Linked DNA regions of Ovis aries. The protein of the gene in region 1 interacts with the protein of each later gene in a pairwise test. Links are inferred from orthologs where the notes say so. Each region holds a gene or a part of one and is shown in the gene's direction. Other genes may lie near its edges. The genes, in order: CYTH1 and ITGB2.

Region 1 (6,660 bases):
GGCAACCTGCTCCAGTATTCTTGCCTGGAAAATTCCACGGACAAAGGAGCCTGGTGGCTACAGTCCACGGAGCTACAAAGAGTTGGACACAACTGAGCATGCATATGTTGTCAAGTACATTTTACGTCCCTACCCAGTGCATTCATTTACAACCAAACCAAACATTATCCTTACGGTACAAGGTGGATGCTGATTCTCTTTTATTCTATCTTCTCTTCCTTCAATGGAGATTGGTTTTTCAACCATTCAGAGTCAGGACCTGCCACTGGAAAACACTGTTGTAATGAAACAATGTAAGTTAAGGGGATTTGTTTACAGTCAAAAACCAGGCTAATCGAAGTGATTAGCATTCATGCCCTTCCCATCCAAAGGTTTGGGAGTTCAGATCACAGGGAGAATTAACCTGTGGCCTCAGTTGCTTTTCTGCCCAAGTTTTGGTCATCGAGCAAGAGTTATGTAAAATCAATGAAGATTAAACTCTTAGGTCCACCAGAATCAAGCTTCTATGGATAAGATAATCTCTGTGAGGGAAGTGTCTGATTTCTGGAGCTATTGGAAAGAAACACTTGCCTAAGGAAATAAAGCCCATCTTCTTGGACATACGGGAGACATCAAGCTTCACCGTCAAAGCCTGGGTCCGACAGCTCAGGGAGTAACAGGGATATTTTTGTTTGTGAATGCACAGTTTTCCTAGCCACCAGAAGGGTGGGCCAGAGCTGCACCCTGATGGAATGTGAAGATTGGGATCCCTTAGACTGATAATGTTGGAATCCATCTCATCAAACAAAAACATTGTCAGCTGTGCTGAAGTCAAGCAGAAGACAGCAACAGATCACAGATCAGTACTGGGCAGGAGCCTGGATTTTATAGGCAGATGCTTCATTTCACGGGTGTGAGACAGGTCCAGGGGGCTGAGGTATTTGCCCAGATCACAGAGCTAATAGGAAGCAGATGTGGAAAGAAAACCTAGAGTTTCCTCATTCATTTACTCCTTTTCCATGAGAGGAAAGGGACTTTCCTTTGTTGTCTACCGGGAGGCATGTTTTGGAACGGTCTGTAAGGAAACAGACTGCTGAGAAGGGTCACAACTCCCCCTGATGGAGATATTCCCTGACATTTCAGGGGCATTGCCAGGACCTTGGGCTGAGCTCTTCTCCCGCAGCACCCCCAGTACAGCACATTGTGCTAGGGGGTCCAGGGTCATGCCCCCCAGGAGGGTCCTGGACCATCCCTGTGTGATCCTTCCAAATGACACACTTATAATTTTTATGTGTAGCACCAAATCAAGAAAGAGCATATCCATCCAGGAACAAGTAAAAAAGCAGCATTTTCGTTTATTTTTCTGAATTAAAAATTGGTGATGTCCCCACCTCCAGGTGCAGAACTACTGCCCAGGCTCCTCAAAGGGCAGCTCAGTCTAACCAGTGGGTGGGGATTGGTCGGTCAGCCCAGTGCAGGCAAATAAAACATGTAAGGCACAGCCTAGAAACGTATGAATCCAACAGTCGCAGGAATCAAGGTCACCAAAATCCTGACATGCTGTGAGGCTGAGGTGCCTCTCTTTGAAATTTGATCGGGGTACATTCAGAGGACAAAGAAAAGGAAGTATATAAAGGCAATGAACTCATGACATTCACGGTGCTAAGGTTCAGACTGCAGAAATAATGAACTCAAAATATTCTGGTATTCGGCCAAGGACTAGCAGGACCTGTGAAACTAACGTCAGCGAGGACCACCCTGCCCTTGAGTGGCCGGACACGACCTTGGTACCTCTGTGGGCGGCTGGGCTCTGGTCTGTTTCCCAGGCCTGCGCCACCCTTAGGAAATCCGAAACCTGCTGGGCCCCCGGAGGCGGCCGAGGCGGGGCCTCGGGTTGGGGCGTGGTCAGAGGCGGGGCCTCGGCGCCCGGGGCCAGCCAGAGGGGCGGGGCCTCGGCGGGCGCGCGTACGCAGTCCTGGGCAGAGTAGAGGACGCGGCCCCAGGGGTGCGCGCGCGGGCGACGGGGGCGGGGCCGCAGGCCCGGGGGCGGGGTCTGGGCGGGCGCGCGTGCGCAGGCGCGGGTCGGGAGGCGGCCGCGTGCTGGGCTCTGTGTGTGTGTGTGTGCGCGCGCGCGCAGGCCGCGGGCGGGGCGCCCCGCGGGGGACGAGGGGCGGGCGGCGGGCGGCGGGCTTGGGGCCGGGGGCGGGGCTCTGAGACTCGCCGGGCGAACGGGGCCGGGAGCTGCGGGACCTGGGGCGAGCGGCGAGCCCAGGCGCGGAGCCTGGCGCCGGCACCATGGACGAAGACGACAGCTACGGTCAGTACGGCCCTCGGTCCGGCCGGCGGACGCCCCCTCCCTTCCTCCCTTCACCGGCCCGGCGCCTTGGCCGCGCCTCAGGCGACTCACGTTTCCCGGGGACTGTGGTGCCGGACGCGAGCCGGGCGGGGCGGGGGCCTCCTCAGGGCAGGGGGCACCGGGGGCCCCGAGTGTTAAAGGCTGAGGGGTGATGAGGGGCCGACGTCGGGGTGCACGGGTCTCGGGGGCCGGCGCTGGGGGTCGCCGGGCTCCAGTCTCTGGGGCCGCAGTCGTAGGACCGGGGTCTCGGGGCCTGAGTCTCCGAGGCGGAAGTCCTCCAGGGTGAGGGTCTGTCTCGAGGCCGGGGTCTAGGGCGGGGTTCAGAGGAGGGTCTCGGGGTCCGGGTCTCGGGCGGGGGTCTCGGGCCGCTGTCCCGCGCAGGCCCAGCCTCCCCCGCGAACGCTCAAGTTCCCCCGGCCGTTCTCCGTAGTTTCCGGCCCCTTCGGTGCTGGCAAGTTATGTACCCTGGTCCATGTCTTTGTTCAGAAACAAAAATGAGAAAACACAGGCAGCGAACCCCGAGTGGACAGGCTGCCACCTGACGGTGCCGTCGGGGCCGGGATCTCCTGCCGCCGGCCACCCCAGGGTCCGAGGCTGACCGCCTCTCCGCGGAAACGGGGCTGCTGTTCCCCCAGCGCCTGCGGGGCGAGCCCGAGGGGCGCCGAGAAACCCAACTTTGCCTTCTCATCTGTGCCCAGAGACGCGGCACAGCCCTCACGCCACACCGACAGCGAACGCTTGACAAAACTACCCGTTTCCAAAGCCTCCTTCTGCTGACCTCACCTGGGAACTGTTGGCCATCCGCAGGGCATTCGTCTGTCAAATGGCTTCAGATTGCCAGGCTGGCAGAAGGCTATGTGGAATGCTTTCGTTAATTTATTTAACGTTTTATTCCCAAGAGATGAAAGAATGGCAGATAGAACAAGTGGTGAAGTTTTGTGGTTTGGTAAGCAGAGTACAGACAGCAGTTTGAAATGCTTGTGTGGCTTAGTGGAAGCGAATCCGCTTTCTTGACTAAGTGACATAGGCGACGTTTGTTTCTTAAGCTCTGAGGGAGCAAGCTTTGTTGTGGGGTATGTTAAAATGTGAAAGGTGAAGCACCTTGTTACTTTTCTGTTTGTTTACGAGTAAGTCATTGAGGAACCACTGACCGCAATAGGTGGGTTTATGACCCACAGTGGCAGACAGGGGAAAGGCCAGAGCACGTGGGATCGGTGTCCATCAGATGTCCCCTGGTTACCTTCCAAGTAAAAGCAGTGTGTGCTTTTCCTCTGTGATTGAAAAAAGAGAAAACACCCACGATTGATCCCAAAGGACTTTTCAGCCCCACTTAGGTGTCTGTTTCTGCCCACCCAGGAGAAGCCTTCTCCAGCTTTGCGTGCTCCTGTACCATCTCTTGCTGTTTAATCCAGGCTTTCTTCATGCCCTCTCCTGGTGGTCTTACCCACCGCTCGAGGCAGGAAGCTGTTGGTCTGGTTGCTTTGAACACAATGACTGCTTTGCCACCAGGCATGGCATGAATTCGTGCTCAGAAAGGGTGAATGGAAGCAGGGTGTATTTGTTTCCTGTGGCGGCTGTAACAGATTGGCACAAACAACATAAACTTGTTATCTTACAGTTCTGGAGGTCAGAAGTCCAAATTTGGTCTCACTAAGCTAAAATCAAGGTGTTTACTGGGCTGTGTTCCTTTCTGGAGGTCCTAACAGGAACATCTGTTTCCTTGCCTCTTCCAGCTTCTAGAGACTGCCCCCGTTCCTTGGCTGCTGGCTGCCTTCCACCTTCAGAGTCAGCAGGTAGCATCTTCTCAGTTCTGTCTGGCTTCTGCCTCTTCTAGTTAGGGCTCTGTGACGCCATTGGACCCACCTGATAAGGATAAGGATCAGCAGCCTTAGTTCTCCAATGGTAACCCCCTTTTTGCCACGTAGGGGCGGCGTGTTTCCAGGTTCTGGGATTAGGACAGGGCTATCTCTGGGGCCCATTATTCTGCTGACCACACATAAAGATGAGGAAGAAGTTGTTCTTTTCTTTCTGTTTGTACAATTAAAAAAAAAACATATTCTTCGTATATTGGAGGAAGCAGAAAGGTTGATTTAAAGATTTCCCCCACTCATTGGGTTTACCACACAAAAAGTACCTAATGGTTCAAGATGATCATAACAAGAAAAAGGTTCCTAGTTCTTTTTAAGGTTTGCCTCAGTCTCCAGAACTTTCCATTTCTCTCCTAGGTTTTACAGAGAATTTACCTCAAAAGATAAGACAACTATTCACATTCCACCTTTCAAACTAAAGTGGGTGCTGTGGACTCAAACAGTGCATAGAATGCCAGGTCCAGGGGGTTCCCTCGGAACCTCCATTGGTGGTTCATGAGTCAGCCTAGGTCACTACCATGATTTTTTAACATTGTATCTTTGGGGACAGGGTTTATGATTTCCATGCTATCACCTTGCTAGATAAAACCTTTGAAGCATAACTCATTTATAATAAGCTAAAGAAAGAGAATGTGTCTTAGAGTTTCTCTGTTCAACGAAAGAGAATTTTGAAAACTCACCAGAAGGCTTTTCCTAACTGCATACTCTTTGATGTTCTGTGCTGACCCAGAAACCACACCACTGAGTTCAGCAGCCCTTTCTCTTGTTCACTCCCTGTGATCCTGAGTTGTTTATTTGGTCTAGTTGTAATGCACTAGATCCATACAGCATAGTTCAAACTACACATGTGGTGTGATAAACCAGACTGTGAACACCTGTGTGAAGTGGGGGGGAGGTTAAACAAAAGTCAATTTAAAGCATTTTTTTTTCTTTTAAGAAAAATGTGGAATTAGTGGTTTTCTAAAAGCTTAATTGACACTTTAAGAAAGATGTTCCTAATGCTTGTGGCTGGCTGGTCTTTATCCCCGCCCCCCCTTCTTTCTAAACCCTGAAATAGTTGGGATTTTTGGGGGGTCATTTTACGTTCTTATTAGATGACTGTACTTCCTGGATGTCACAGTTCTCACTTGTAAAAGGAAGAGGTATTTTTACCTTCATAGCGTTCCCTGCCCACGAAAGGACTCAGTGACTGTATTCCTTTTTGTTACTTCTGAATTCAAGCAGACATTTTTAACACGCAGTCTGCTTCTTAATGGGCTTTCAGGCCCCTCTGAGATTGTATGTGAGAGTTTGTGAACGTGCATTTTTGGAGAGTCCTTTGCTTTAATTCAGTTCTCGAACGGCTCTGACTCTTGGAACTGCTGCTCCAGAGGTTTGCCTGCCTCTCTCTTACAAAAGGTCTTGAGGTAGAGATGGGCAGGGTCCATCCAGTAGTAACATCGGAAATGTTAGTGGTGATGATTCTATATCACGACTCTGACGAAATAATCGGATTTCTGAGCATAGGTTCTTAAGATCCCTGAACCCATGTGCTGTTCAAGACCTTTACTTCCCAAATACAGACCTTACTCCTCTCAGCTTTTATTAGCTTCGGCTTATCCCTTTTCTGCTGCATGAGGGAGAAGAAGCCTTTAAGAAATAAGCCTCTCTTGAGAGAGTGGAGATGTTGATCTTAACCAGGCATACCTGGCATCCTCAGATGATAAAAGTGCGGTGTGGGCAGTGGTATGCATAGGCAGTGGCATGCATGGGTGCTGCTGCAGGACTGTGCGTGGGAGCCTATTGCGTCCAGGAGAGATTTGCTGTTTGGTCTTTGTGCCTTAAGAACAAGCGTGGCCTGGTACCCAGTGGAAGCAGCTCAGTGACTCTGGAAGGAATAATAGATTGAGCCAGTTTCTGTGTGGCAAAAGTTAACATTTGCTGAACTTGAATTTTTCTCTTCCCCCCGATCCCAAACAGAAACTAGAACACTTTTATGAATGTGCTTGACCCTATGCCAAACCAGTTTTCTTCATTTTTCTATGATATTGATGACTTTCATTGTTCCCAAGTGTAGTTCCACTCTTAGTGATTTGCATTTATTGAAAAGGATACAATTACATAAAGTCAGGGTTTCTTAGAAAATCTGGAACACAAGGTTACCATAATTACACACTTTGTGGTCTATAAGGTAGATTTCCAGGGGTGACATTAACATGTCAGAGGATATAAACATTTTGGGAATTCTTGATGGGTGGTGTCAATTTGCTTTTTCAAAAGGCTGTATCAGGCTACCCTGTTCTTAGCGATATATGGGGGTATGTGTTCCAGTATCACTACCAGTGTGCCGCTGGTGAGGATTAGCATATGAAAGCTTTTTTAAAGAAAACTAATTTAATGGTTACAAAATGGTTCCTCATTATATCTGTTGATTACTGGCTAGGTTAAAAAATTTCTTTTGTCTATTTGTGTATTATG
Region 2 (6,110 bases), on another chromosome or scaffold:
TGTCTGGTGTTCCCTCTGACACGGCCTGGGGTGGGCCTTTCAGCAGGAACCCCGTGCAGACCTCCTGCTGTCCTTCTGTGCGGGCGATGGCAGCCTAGACCACTCGGCGGAGGGAAACGTCTGCCAGGCGCTCCGCCGTGATGTCAGTATTTCCCCTTTGCAATTAGTAATTTGTGGGGAGATACTCTGAAGCCGGGGAGCATTCTACTTCCCTTGAAGCCTACACCCACTCACTCTACCGTCCATCAGCTGATGGGAGCTCGAATCAGTTGTCACTGGGATGGTTGCAGAACGGTGGCACTCCTGTTCATGACTCCCTCCAATGGCTCCTAACGTAAGAGGAATATTTCCTTCCTGCAATCTCCTTCTCTCTTTCTCATCGGTGTGGACCCATAGATGTTTCTGTTACTCCGCAGTTTATAAGGTATCACTTTCACTTTGTCATTTTGAAGCTCAAATTGTTCCCCATTTGGCCATGGGAGCCCCGGGGCTAGCCCTGTGCCCGACTAGCATACCCCAGTATCACTTCCTGAGCTCTCTCTCTGGGATCAGCAGGCGCTCCTGGCCCCTTGGCACTTGCCTGGCCCCCACCAGAGGGTTCCTGGTTCCCTTCATGAGAAGCCAGGCTCCCAACATTCACAGTACATTTCCCCATTTCCTCCTCCTTTGACTCTGGGGAAGTGGTTACAGAGTTGCTACCCTTAGCACTGCAGGGAGGAGATGGGTGTGGTCTGCGTGCTCTTCTGTTACCAGCAAGCAGTCACAGTCCAGCTTGCAAAGTCCCTCCTCAGGGTGGGTTTCTCCCTTCCCTCCTGTGAGCTTCTTGTTTGCATCTGAAATGCAGTTAGGTTAAACTGCTTCTGAGCACATTCCATTTTAGGGATTTCTTCCCTCCCCATTCCTGTTAATTTTATTTCCCTAATACTTAAAGTGGGCTTCCCAGGTGACTCAGTGGTAAAGAATCTGCCTGCCAACACAGGAGATGCAAGAGATGCTGGTTCTATCCCTGGATCAAGAAGATCCCCAGAAGGAGGAAATGGCATCCCACTCCAGTGTTCTTGCCTGGAGAACCCCATGGACAGAGAAGCCTGGTGGGCTACAGTCTATAGGGTTGCAAAGAGTCAGACTCGGCTGAGCCACTAAGCACGCTCGCAGGCACGCAGCAGTTAAAGCATTACTAGGGCCTCAAAAGATCATGGCATCTGGTCCCATCACTTCATGGGAAATAGATGGGGAAACAGTGGAAACAGTGTCAGACTTTATTTTTTTGGGCTCCAAATCACTGCAGATGGTGACTGCAGCCATGAAATTAAAAGACACTTACTCCTTGGAAGAAAAGTTATGACCAACCTAGATAGCATATTAAAAAGCAGAGACATTACTTGGCCAACAAAGGTCTGTCTAGTCAAGGCTATGGTTTTTCCAGTGGTCATGTATGGATGTGAGAGTTGGACTGTGAAGAAAGCTGAGCGCCAAAGAATGGATGCGTTTGAACTGTGGTGTTGGAGAAGACTCTTGAGAGTCCCTTGGACTGCAAGGAGATCCAACCAGTCCATTCTGAAGGAGATCAGCCCTGGGATTTCTTTGGAGGGAATGATGCTGAAGCTGAAACTCCAGTACTTTGGCCACCCCATAAGAAGAGTTGACTCATTGGGAAAGACTCTGATGCTGGGAGGGATTGGGGGCAGGAGGAGAAAGGGACGACCGAGGATGAGATGGCTGGATGGCATCACCTACTCGATGGACATGAGTCTGAGTGAGCTCCAGGAGTTGGTGATGGACAGGGAGGCCTGGCGTGCTGTGATTCATGGGGTCGCAAAGAGTCGGACACGACTGAGCGACTGAACTGATCTAACTGAGGGTCTCAAAAGTGAAGACAGTACAGAGGCAGCTCAGGAAGCACCGCCCCTCTAATGGCCATGTCCCTTTAGTCTGGCCCTGCCCCCTGAGCTCTCTGGCCTCCTTGTTGGTTGTTCAGGGGCTCCATCATGTCTGACTCTGTGACCCCATGAACTGCAGCACAGCAGGCTTCCCTGTCCTTCACCATCTCCCAGAGCTCGCTCAAACACATGTCCATTGAGTCTGTGATGCCATCTCGTCCTTTGTCGTCCCCTTCTCCTCCTGCCTTCAATCTTCCCCTGCACCAGGGTCTTTTCTAATGAGTCAGTTCTTTGTATCAGGTGGCCAAAGTATTGGACCTTCAGCTTCAGCATCAGTCCTTCCAATGAATATTCAGGCTTGATTTCCTTTAGGATTGACTGGTTTGATCTCCTTGCAGTCCAAGGGACTCTCAAGAATCTTCTCCAACACCACAGTTCAAAAGCATCAATTCTTCAGCTCTCCGCCTTCTTGATGGTCCAACTCTCACATCCATACATGACTACTGGGAAAACCATAGCTTTGACTATACACAACTTTGTCAGCAAAGTAATGTCTCTACTTTTTACTGTGCTGTCTAGGCTGGTCATAGCTTTTCTTCCAAGGAGCAAGTGTCTTTTAATTTCATGGCTACAGTCACCATCTGCAGAGATTTTGGAGCCCAAGAAAATAAAGTCTGTCACTGTTTCCCCATCTATTTGCCATGAAATGATGGGACTGGATGCTATGATCTTAGTTTTTTGAATGTTGAGTTTTAAGCCAGCTTTTTCACACTCCTCTTTCACCTTCATCAAGAGGCTCTTTAGTTCTTCTTCACTTTCTGCCATAAGGGTGGTGTCATCTGCATATTTGAGGTTACCGATATTTCTCCTGGCAATCTTGATTCCAGCTTGTGCTTCATCCAGCCTGGCATTTCACATGATGTATTCTGCATATAAGTTAAATAAGCAGGGTGACAATATATAGCCTTGATGTACTCCTTTCCCAATTTGCAACTAGTCCATTGTTCCATGACTGGTCCTAACTGTTGCTTCTTGACCTGCATATAGACTTCTCAGGTGGCAGGTAAGGTGGCCTGGTATTCTCATCTCTTTAAGAATTTTCCAGTTTGTAGTGATCCCTATACAGTCAAAGGCTTTAGCGTAGTCAGTGAAGCAAAAGTAGATATTTTTCTGGAATTCTCTTGCTTTTTCTATGATCCTAGGTATATTGACAGTTTGATCTCTGGTTCCTCTGCCTTTTCTAAATCCAGCTTGAACATCTGGAAGTTCTCAGTTCATGTACTGTTGAAGCGTAGCTTGGAGGATTTGTAGCATTACTTTGCTAGCATGTGCTGCTGCTGCTGTTGCTAAGTTGCTTCAGTCGTGTCCGACTCTGTGCGACCCCATAGACGGCAGCCCACCAGGCTCCCCTGTCCCTGGGATTCTCCAGGCAGGAACACTGGAGTGGGTTGCCATTTCCTTCTCCAATGCATGAAAGTGAAAAGTGAAAGTGAAGTTGCTCAGTCATGTCTGACCCTTAGCAACCCCATAGACTGCAGCCTACCAGGTTCCTCCATCCATGGGAGTTTCCAGGCAAGAGTATTGGAGTGGGTTGTCACTTCCTTCTCCGTGCTAGCGTGTGAGATGAGTGCAATTGTGCAGTAGTGTGAACAGTCATTGGCATTGCCTTTTGGGATTGGAATAAAAACTGACCTTCTCCAGTTCTGTGGCCACTGCTGGGTTTTCCAAATTTGCCAGTGTGTTGAGTGCCTCCTATGAGGCCTCCTGTCTGGTTGTTATCCCCTAGTCTCCCACTGGGAGGAAGCCGGACCCACCGATGCAGCCCCTTGGTTCTCCCTGCCACAGCGACATCCAGGGAGCCTTCATGAGGGCAAAGTGGTCACGAGGAAAATGCCCTGTACCCAGGACCCCCACGCTCCCCCCTGTCTTTTCCTTCTGATCTGCTTGGCCCAGAGCCCTGTCCTCTATTCCAGGTTCCCAGGGTGCCTAGGCACTAACTGGTGGGCCAAGAGGGGCACCTGCGTTCCATCAGGAGAGAGCCGCTCCCTGCCAGCAAGGCACTGCTGAGGAAGGGGTTGAAAACCTGGGCCGGATGCTCGATTGGCCATGGAGGGTACCCATGGGTCCACCTGGAGCTGAGATGCTGGCCTTGAGCCGCTTCCACTGCTAGAGACTGTGGGGAGACGCCCACTGGCGCCAGGCTCTCCTGCAACCCCGAGCCTTGTGAAGAGGCTGCCCAGCAACCCCCATCCCTGCCTCCCCACCCAGGGACTTCTTCCTGAACAGTGGGGCAGATGAGGGGGTCAGCCTGGCAAGGCACCCACAGCGTAGGCTCCCATATTTCCTCTGTGCTACCCCTGACCCCTGCCTCCCCCAGAACTTCACAGGGCAAGGGGAGCCCGACTCCACTCGCTGTGATACACGGGCGCAGCTGCTGTCGAAGGGCTGCCCAGCTGATGACATCATGGAACCCAAGAGCCTCGCTGAGACCCGGCAGAGCCAGGCGGGCAAACAGAAGCAGCTGTCCCCAGAGGAAGTGACTCTCTACCTGAGACCAGGTAGGCTTGGCTGGCTAGGGGTGGGCCAGCCCTGATGGCGCATGTATCCATGTGTCCCTGCCCCAGGAGGATGTTCCCAACGCCCCGTCTGCAGCTGGTGCCTAGTCTCGCTTTTAGCGCTGAGTTCTGCATCCTAAAAAAAGGGAGAATAAACCATCTGAAAAACACTCCTGTATCCCTCCCTCAGAAGATGAGGTATTTTTGGCCGAGTGAAGGCTCTGATAAGGCCTGTAAACTAGGAACCCAAGTAAACCTTTGAATCAGTGTAGCCCACCTGACTTGACCACAGACCCAGGTTTAGGACACAGCTCCCTGTTAGCACTCCAAGAAACACCCTTCAGGAAGGTGGCTTGGTGGAGCAGCAGGGGGTTATGGTGAATGGGCCTGGGCAGGGCTGGGGCGGCCACATCGGGGAACTGATGCTGGAAGGCGGCTGGCAGAGGGGACTTGATTGTCACGGCTTTGTCGAGCACCAGCTGTGTGCCAAGCACCTACCTGAGAGCTGGGGACACAGGCTATTTGTACTGACAAGGAAAGAAGTCATTACAAGTGCAGGCGGTGATTAAGACGACGAGGAGCAGAAACCAGGGCGGCTGTGATTGAGGAAGGAGAGGGGGGGTGTTCCCAGGATGGCCAGGGAGCCCTTTTGGGCACCAGCAGGTTTGCCTAGCGGCTGGTGGTAGAGAAGGCCTTGCCGGGGAGACCCAGAGAGATCCAGGTGGAACTGAATCTCAACAGTGCTGGATAAACAATGAGCACTTCTTCTATCTTCTTGTATCCAGCACACCTTGTATCCAGATGGTCTTCTATGTCAGAACGTGCGCTTTACCTGAAATCGGGACCTGAATAGGCTTCCTGCATTTTATCCACCAGCCTCAAAGAATGGGGGAGTCCTGAGGGTTCTGAGGCCTGCAGAGGCATCAGTGCCCCCCAAACCCCCCACCCACAGACCAGGTGGTACACCCTGACTCTCTCCCAAATCCTGGCAGGTCAGGCAGCTGCGTTCAACGTGACCTTCCAGAGGGCCAAGGGCTACCCCATCGACCTGTACTATCTGATGGATCTCTCCTACTCCATGGTGGACGACCTTGCCAACGTCAAGAAGCTGGGGGGTGACCTGCTCCGGGCCCTCAATGACATCACCGAGTCGGGCCGCATTGGTGAGGCAGCTACTCCATCTTGCCCTGAACTCCCAAGCCCTGGTCCCAGGCACCTCTGCACCTCTGCACCTCTGCACCCCGAGGGCATGGTGCCAGGCCCCTCCCCACATGCTGGGCCTTCCTACCCCGCTCTGGTAAGAGGCTCACGGCCCCCCACTGTCCCCCAGGTTTCGGGTCCTTCGTGGACAAGACAGTGCTCCCCTTCGTCAACACGCACCCCGAGAAGCTGAGGAACCCCTGCCCCAACAAGGAGAAGGAGTGCCAGCCGCCGTTCGCCTTCAGGCACGTGCTGAAGCTCACCGACAACTCCAAACAGTTCGAGACAGAAGTCGGGAAGCAGCTGATCTCGGGGAACTTGGACGCCCCTGAGGGTGGGCTGGACGCCATGATGCAAGTGGCCGCGTGCCCGGTGAGGCTCCGTCCTGAGCAAACCTTCTGAAGCCCAAATACGAGGAAATGACCCTGGAAAGCAAGACCCCTTTGCCGCCCGATCCTGGTAGTCCCCCTACTTC

The links.
Region 2: the proteins of CYTH1 (region 1) and ITGB2 interact in a two-hybrid assay, tested with the Homo sapiens proteins (2 studies listed by BioGRID). The link is inferred for Ovis aries from reciprocal best matches to the Homo sapiens genes CYTH1 and ITGB2.

The regions. Positions count from the first base shown.
Region 1 is NC_056064.1:52,902,992-52,909,651, forward strand, and holds the start of CYTH1 (cytohesin-1), read left to right. Parts: upstream 1-2,193; 5' UTR 2,194-2,274; coding exon 2,275-2,296; intron 2,297-6,660. UniProt on the Homo sapiens protein: Promotes guanine-nucleotide exchange on ARF1, ARF5 and ARF6. Promotes the activation of ARF factors through replacement of GDP with GTP.
Region 2 is NC_056054.1:265,484,821-265,490,930, reverse strand, and holds part of ITGB2 (integrin beta-2 precursor), read left to right. Parts: intron 1-4,257; coding exon 4,258-4,438; intron 4,439-5,427; coding exon 5,428-5,598; intron 5,599-5,765; coding exon 5,766-6,007; intron 6,008-6,110.